Oreochromis niloticus: one gene and its partner. The protein of the gene in region 1 interacts with the protein of each later gene in a biochemical or structural test. Links are inferred from orthologs where the notes say so. Each region holds a gene or a part of one and is shown on either strand. Other genes may lie near its edges.

Region 1 (3,751 bases):
GTTCATATTTCTCCCAATCTCCTCCAAAGTTTGTTTAACACAGACAAAAACACTTTGTCACCAAAAATATTCCATTTCACTTTGATCTGGCCATAGTCTAAGTGATTTCTACCTCTCCATCATTAAGCTGTGGTACAGAATCAGGCGTAAACACACCGGGTTAGTTTTAATGTTTCTACAGATCCAGTTTAACATTTCAGAGCTCAAATGTGTAGCAGTCACGTTTTTAATAACTGTTGCGCTGAAAGTGCACTGAGTGACAAAATAAATATTAATTCACTGAGTCACAAAATAAATGACTTTCTGCAGTAATACTCTCAGCTTATTTGCAGAAAAGTTGTCTTTTTTTTCCATATCCTTTATAGACTTTTATCGGGAATTCCTCTGACCGAAGCAGGAGGCACTCAATCGCAGTCAAGTGAGAGTCGACAGAGCCTGAAGCAGAAAACCAGGGTTAAGAGAGAAAGCTGATCATTGTGATTCCCTCTCTCTGATTGTTTTTTTTTTTTTTTTTTTTTCCCCCATTTTACAGCCCACAGACAACAACAACAGTATGAGGGGGGGGGAACCCTCAGAAGTACACACAGGACATAGCTCCATCTCATCCGTCAGTGTTGTGGTTAATGACATGAAGCCAATTTTGTGTTTTGTTCCAAGTGCTGTTTGCACTAATATTACTCTTCGAGGCAGATGAAAGAAAGATGCACATGTAGATGCATCATTACAAGCCAGGCCGGATCATCCAATAGCCATTCTGGGCACAAAACCACGGGTCGACAATGCTTGGGTTACTATCCAGGTAGCACATAAATGTTTCCTCTTCAATTTTAAGTCTTCTTGTTTTTAATCACCCAAAAAAATATATAATAAAATACTCGGCGACTAAACAATTAGTTCCAGGTCTGTCTTTGAGCAGAAGATGGTAAACATTTTGAGTTCACGTAAGTAATTGAAAGCAATCAGTTTATTTCTGACAAAATGTGATCCCCAAAACTAGAACTGCTGATTCATCCATCATCTTAGCAGTGAGAAAACAATGATAGTCCATTTAATATCTGACATTAGATATCAGATATTATATTTGACAGTAGGAAGATGGCAAATATTTTAGGGTTTTTCCTGCTCAGAGTGGGCCTTTGAGGGACAATGCACATAAGCACAATTGCTCTGCATATTGTTAGACAAAAGAATTAACAGAAGTGTATGCAATTTTCAAACAAAGTTGTTAACATCATGTTTATCACAGTAAAGGTGGAAAGCCAAAGGTTTATTTATGCAAAAGAAACCCTGCATCTGTGTCTGTGTTTGTAGCGTCATGATCTGGTCAAGACAACAGGTCGACTGGGAGATAGGAAAAGTTCATGTTCAGTCACGTGCAAGTCAATAAGCCTGCTTCCTCCCCTCATCAAAACCGTCTCTAGGTCTAAGTTAATAATCAATGACGCCTTTGAAACTGATTTCATTTCATACCAACACTAAATCCCTGCAAAGTGAAACAGGGCGAGGTTTGGTTCATCTTACCAGGCTCCTCGCAATTGCCTGGACTTTGCGGCCATCCCTGCAAAAGCTGAAGTGACCTTAAACTCTGTAGTAGACACCAGGAAAATCTGATTAGAAGCTAGTTTCACTGTCAAGCCTCGTGAGATTACGTAAAGCTGGTGATAGGAAGAGTATCTCGGCTAACAAACCTTTCTTCGCACCGTTTCACTGCCTCTGCCAGCAACGTGACAATACTACATGATATTAAACTGTGCACAAAGGGGTGGCGCGGTCAGGGTGGGGCGTTAACCCGAACCTCGCACCACTAACGAAAGCAGCGATGCTGGCTGTGGCTGTAGCTGTTATCTTTAGGGAAATTTTGAAATGATAAGCAGCAACACAATAAACACCGGAAGACGGAAAAACAACAACAACAACGCATGTAAAGCTTAACAGCTCACTTTAACAACAGACTGTCTACAAATGGGTAGCATTGGCCTTAATATTAAAAAAAAAAAAAAAAAAAAAACTCAGTTAAAAAGGGCCATGTTTTAACTACCCTGGTTTAAAGCAGCGGGTGGTTTAGCCTCACGTAGATAAAAAAACGGTGAATACTACAGATGCGTGTGGCTTCGGCCTTGTACAAAGTGAGCTGTCAAAACCAGTCGAGGCGTTGACAGCGTCACGGGCTGACTAGCACTATTTCGCTGTTAACCTTAGCATGCTAACGGCCATCCTAAGAGCATTTTATCTGACGTAATACCCACAAGGAGCATAGAAAAACAACAAAAGGTGAACGTATTACCCTCCAGAGACAGTGTTTAGGTGAAATGGTTCGCCATTGATAGCCGTCTCGTGCGCAACTTACTGGCTAACGTTAGCCTCCTGTGATCGGGGACAATCCCACAGTGACTACGGCACAGTCAGCCGCAACGTCAGCCTTCGGCCTTACCTGCTCGGTACCAAGGGACGCCGCTTCTCAGGTGAATCGGATGGTACTCCCGGTCTGCAACATAAACTCAGTCTGTACTTAGAGAAACATATTAGAGTGCAGTCCTTTCTTCACATTAACGATAACCGTCCCTGTCGCTCAGCGTGGTTGCTAACGTTACTGCTGTCCCCGCCTCTTTTCCGGTTTAAAGAAAACATACGAGCCCTCCCCATCCTGCTGCACGTTTGATTTTTAATCCTATACGGTCTATAATTTTTTGTTTTTAACAGCATTATAGCCTCACTGTAGATTATTCAATTAGTAAGTCACATAAAAGCAAATATTAATTATCTTTTGAGCCTAGTGATCCGCTCTTATCAATATTGAGGATCAGATGTGATGGGACAGTTATGGACTGTTAGAGAAAAAACTAGCAGCGTCTTTAAACTTATTACAGTTCACTTACATGAAGGACAAAACGGGTAGCAATAAAGGAAAAAGAATGATTTGGTGATCATTAAAGACAACATGCACTGTAATAAACCCATCCCAAGCGCCATCTAGTGTTTTCATAGTGAAGAAATCCCCTCTGCAGGGATCCATCCACCCCAGAGTCACCAGTAGAAAAGCTCCACTATCACTATATCAGTGGCACCATCTAATGTCCCAAAATGTTCTTATAAATGGATTATAAACTTTAATGGGCGGTTATGTTACAATGTGATGCTCATACAGCTGGACTGCTAAGTATTTCAACTGTGTTGCTGTCCACTTCTTTTTGGCCAAGTAAATGATGAAGATTGTTATTATTATTTTACAGCTTTACAAAAATAGCAAAAAGCAAAACATGGTGATAGAAATATATGATTATATAATTGATTCAATGCAAAGATAATAACCCAAAAGGTAGAGAGTTATTATACCACCATGTTTCACACAGCATATTATGAATGAGAACAGATTTCTTAAAAAATAAAAATAAAAAAAGATTAAACACATACCAAAGAAAATAATACATTAAGAATAAATTAATAAACAAGTTAATATACATTTGGAGAAACTAAACCAGAGCAAGGCTGCTTTCTCTGATGGCATCAGCCCCAAAGTTCTATCTATGATCCCGAGTCTGTGTGACAAGGTGGCCTTTTGCAGCTGGATCTACAGTGAGGAAGACCAAAAACACACTCCTTTAATGCATGGCCTCTCCTAGAACCTTTAAATGGTGTCCGGACCCCAGGGAAACATTTGCCCAAACACCCTGGATAGGACAGAAAAGACAGGTGAGTAATCATGTCTTAACAGCAAGTTCTTTGCACCAACCTTTACCTTTAGACTTTGCAC
Region 2 (3,751 bases), on another chromosome or scaffold:
TAGGGTTAGTCTGACACTCAGTAACTCAAGAAATGTTGTTTTAATAAGTCCAAATTTGAAGACAATAGCCCAAAATTGTGATTTACAGATGTCATGTTTTTATTTTTTCTAGTGGCAGAGTGGCATTTTTTGCAGTGGTGAAAAAGGGCTTCCTTCAAGAGCAGCCCTGAAGGCTTTTCTCCGACCGTGGCCTCTGGATGAAGGTTGAACATAGTCACTGTGACTTCACTGCTTTAGTCTGTGGGCTCTGCTCCGTAAAGCCTGAAACCGTGTAGTTTATTGGTCAGGGACTTGGATAAGGTGAGGTGAAGCCCAGCAGAACAGGTTGGAAAAATGAAGCACGTGTCTTAAACCCGTGTTCTACCTGAAGGCCACCAGATGGCAATAACTGTGGTTGCATAAAAAGACCTCCAGTCCCATAGAGGCTTGTCACATGATGTCAGTCTACATTCCTCCAGAGTGGTCTGCAATATTTGAGGTGATACACATTAGGGCAAAGTATGTATTCCCTGAATGGTTGGTGAAACCTGAAATAATCTGGTGCAAACCAGAGAAGGGTCGCCTTCAAAGTACAAGCGATGGCTCAGAACCATGCCGATATGTGTCAGAAGGCACAAATTTCACTTTGAAGGTAAATGTTCGACATTTCTCTTTGTGTTGCTTTTTTTCACAGCTTTGCAGACACATTGGCGTGTTGCATGCAAACCACGGATGATTGCAGCAACTCGATAGCAACCAAAGCAATCACTGACCAGTTGGGGAATACACTTTTCTCTCACGACTGAGCAGTGGTGGCCAAACAGTTGCAGACCAGTCTGTAAGGACATCATGTCTCAGATGATGGACAAGTTAAAACCATGTGGTTGGTGATCATGTGACTGCAAGACCTCAATAGACGACTTGGGAATAAGTCATTCAGAGTTTTTGGGCTCTGCTACTTGTTTTGTGTCTTTTAAAAAAAAAAAAAAATAGGAGTCTGTTTTGTAAATTTTGGTCATACTGTGTTTTCTGGTGTGTTATTGGGAAAAAAACATCAGCTACAGTAAAGATAAGCAACTCCCTGATTTCTGTATTGCTTCATGTGGAGGACTCCTGGGGGCCCCTGAGGGTCCGGGAAATCCGAAGCCTTGTAGGTAACACGGCCCTGGATTGCGGTGAACCTTAAACATGTCAGGCTGTTTAATGTGAATCATCTCCTGCTCTGTTTAACATTGAATGGCCGGTGTTAGCACAGAGTCTGCGCTGCACCGCAGGTTTAAGAATCATTTATGCCAAACTATGAATGGACTTTGAAGCAGCAGTAAACCCTCGGTCAGCCTGTAAAGCAGCTGGATTAGCTCGCTGCTGTTTTATTTCGCAGCGGGTCCTCACAGAGACAGCAGAGCGCGCACAAACAAGCAGAGGGGAGGGGGAGCTGCTGCCTTTGCGGAAGCCAGCGGAGAGCCGAGGCGGCGCTAAATCAAATTACCATACTAACTAGTTCTCTGTGCGCCGATGTGAGGGGAGCAGGCTGAAGAAAAGCCTCCGTTTTTAAAGTCAAGACACCTACGAGTCCGGCCTCATTTTGTTGGGATCTTCCTGCCGTCCGCCTGCAGAGGAGATGGGGGACAAGGCGGGCACCAGGTAGGACGGCTAGGCTATGAACGGCTAGCTGCGGTTTAGCGTCGGTTCTCACGCACTTTGCTAGCAGCCGTGCTAGTGGCCCAGGCGGAGGAGTTTCTGCTCTCAGCCCGAGCATCAGAGATTTACCCGCTTAATTAGCTAGACCCGGGCCGGGACCAGCGAGCGAGCCCTCTGGTTCTGGTCCAGAACTCTCAGAGCGATGACCTCGTTCGCAGGAGGCGAAGTTAGCACAGCAGGGTGGGGTTAGCTATCCGCGGCTGTGGTGGACGGGACGGCGTTCCAGCGTCCGCTCAGAAATCTGTCAATTTTCAACATTACGCTAACGTTTCCGTCTGACTGAAAAGCACACGAAAAATGATCAACTGTTAACGCCCACCGCTTACTCTAACACAAAGAAAAAAAACGGCACGATATTCGGGTGATTTTACACCACATTTGGGTGTTTTAAAGAGGAATTCCCACGGTGTTTGTCCAGTAAAATACCGCTGAAACGTTAGTGGGCGGTATCGACATGTAACCTGAAAAACAGCATTTTAACTTGAGATTTGTTTAAATTATGGAGCTTATTCTTGTTCGATTCAGTTCCAATGTTTACAGTCAGCTTTTATGTAACGTAAAATATTAGAGTGTTGTGTATTCTCGTTAACCAGGGGCGAAATGTTAAAATGAAGTGTTTTTGAATGGAATTTGGTACGAAGGAGCGTATTGGTGGGCTATTTAGGTTCACTTGCCTCCATCACGGGCTTATTTCGGGTTTCTGGTACCGCAGGTTCATGCCAGTTAGCTGTAAATGTATTTTAAAGAGAATGGAGCTTTCGTTTTCGGGCATCTGTGAGTTCTGGTTCCTGTTTCGGGCCGATACACTCGGTTTGTAGGCACAGCACATCGACACAAAGTGATTGTGGTTTCTTTAAAGCTCAGGATGCCCCCCCTTCCCTTTTTTGTGTGTTTACACCCTCAGTTAATTGGGTTAGCACTGCTGTGGATCAGCTTTCCTTCCCATGTTTTCTCCTTTATTCCTTCTTCTGCAGATCCCGATTAACAGAAGAGACCCAGAGGGCTTAACTGCATTAATCCAACACACAAAAATAAGACTAATGATGAGGAATGACTGTTATGCTCATCAGATCCCGTCCTGTCGTAATGTGATAGGAATACAGGGCCTTTAAAGTCAGGTTCAGCTCTTTCCTTTACTCCATCTGCTGAAAATGAGGTTAAAGTGCTGACTGCTTCAGGCTGTTTACATCCACATCCTGCATGTTTCTCCTCTGTGAGGTGAAGGTTTGTTGGATGTACAGCTTTCATGCACACAAAAATGATCCGTTTCCTCATGTGTTAGCAGCTTTTCACTATAAAATGCTGATCATCGCTGCTGTTTTTGATGGATTTTCCTCTAACCGGGGGGTTGCGAGTCAGCCCAGCCCATTCCACTTGCAGCTTAACTTTCCTGCCAGTTACTTCCTGTTAGGAAGCAGGTGGAAAACTGGGAGGAGAGGAAACGGGCAGGAGGAAAGACCAACGTCATAGCTGTTGAAGAAATGGGTCTCTCTGACATTCACGCTCGAGCCGCTGTTAACAGATTATACATCGAAGCTGCATGTCGAGTGGCTCTGTGGCACTTTGACTCTTTGCAAAACACCAGCCAGCAGTGGAAAGTTTTTCTCTCTTTGACCTTTCACCTTTTGTACTGACAGCCGTGAAGCTCTTCTCCTTGAGTTTTGTATGAGTAGATTAGTAAGTGTGGCTGTGAGGTGTAGCGATGAGCCAGCTAGAACCGATCACATCCTGATATTTTGTCTGTGTGTTACATTATAGACAAAAAAGCCTCTCCTTCAGAGGCGACGGCTCAGGAAAACTGTTATTTCACGCTTTGCTTCCAGTTGTTTACCGCAGTGTGTCAGATTTTGCATGGCTAAAAGAATCCGTTTTAATTGGCTGTTGTATTGAGATCATCTTCAACACCTGTGTCAAGGACGTGAAGCCGTTACGCTTTACCAGACTCATTCACAAAACAGCAATTTTATGTCACAAAACACGTGAGCTGCTTGTTTACAGCTCGCTCAGCTGCTTAGTTCTTGCTGCTGCATGACTTTGGTGTTCTTAATGTATTTAGTCATATCGGAAATGG

What was found.
Region 2: of the proteins of usp33 (region 1) and arrestin red cell, one has a biochemical effect on the other in vitro, tested with the Homo sapiens proteins (2 studies listed by BioGRID, with this or other methods). The link is inferred for Oreochromis niloticus from reciprocal best matches to the Homo sapiens genes USP33 and ARRB2.

What each region holds. Positions count from the first base shown.
Region 1 is NC_031982.2:25,338,855-25,342,605, reverse strand, and holds the start of usp33 (ubiquitin carboxyl-terminal hydrolase 33), read right to left. Parts: upstream 2,621-3,751; 5' UTR 2,432-2,620; intron 1-2,431. UniProt on the Homo sapiens protein: Deubiquitinating enzyme involved in various processes such as centrosome duplication, cellular migration and beta-2 adrenergic receptor/ADRB2 recycling.
Region 2 is NC_031975.2:31,924,770-31,928,520, forward strand, and holds the start of arrestin red cell, read left to right. Parts: upstream 1-1,210; 5' UTR 1,211-1,600; coding exon 1,601-1,623; intron 1,624-3,751. UniProt on the Homo sapiens protein: Functions in regulating agonist-mediated G-protein coupled receptor (GPCR) signaling by mediating both receptor desensitization and resensitization processes.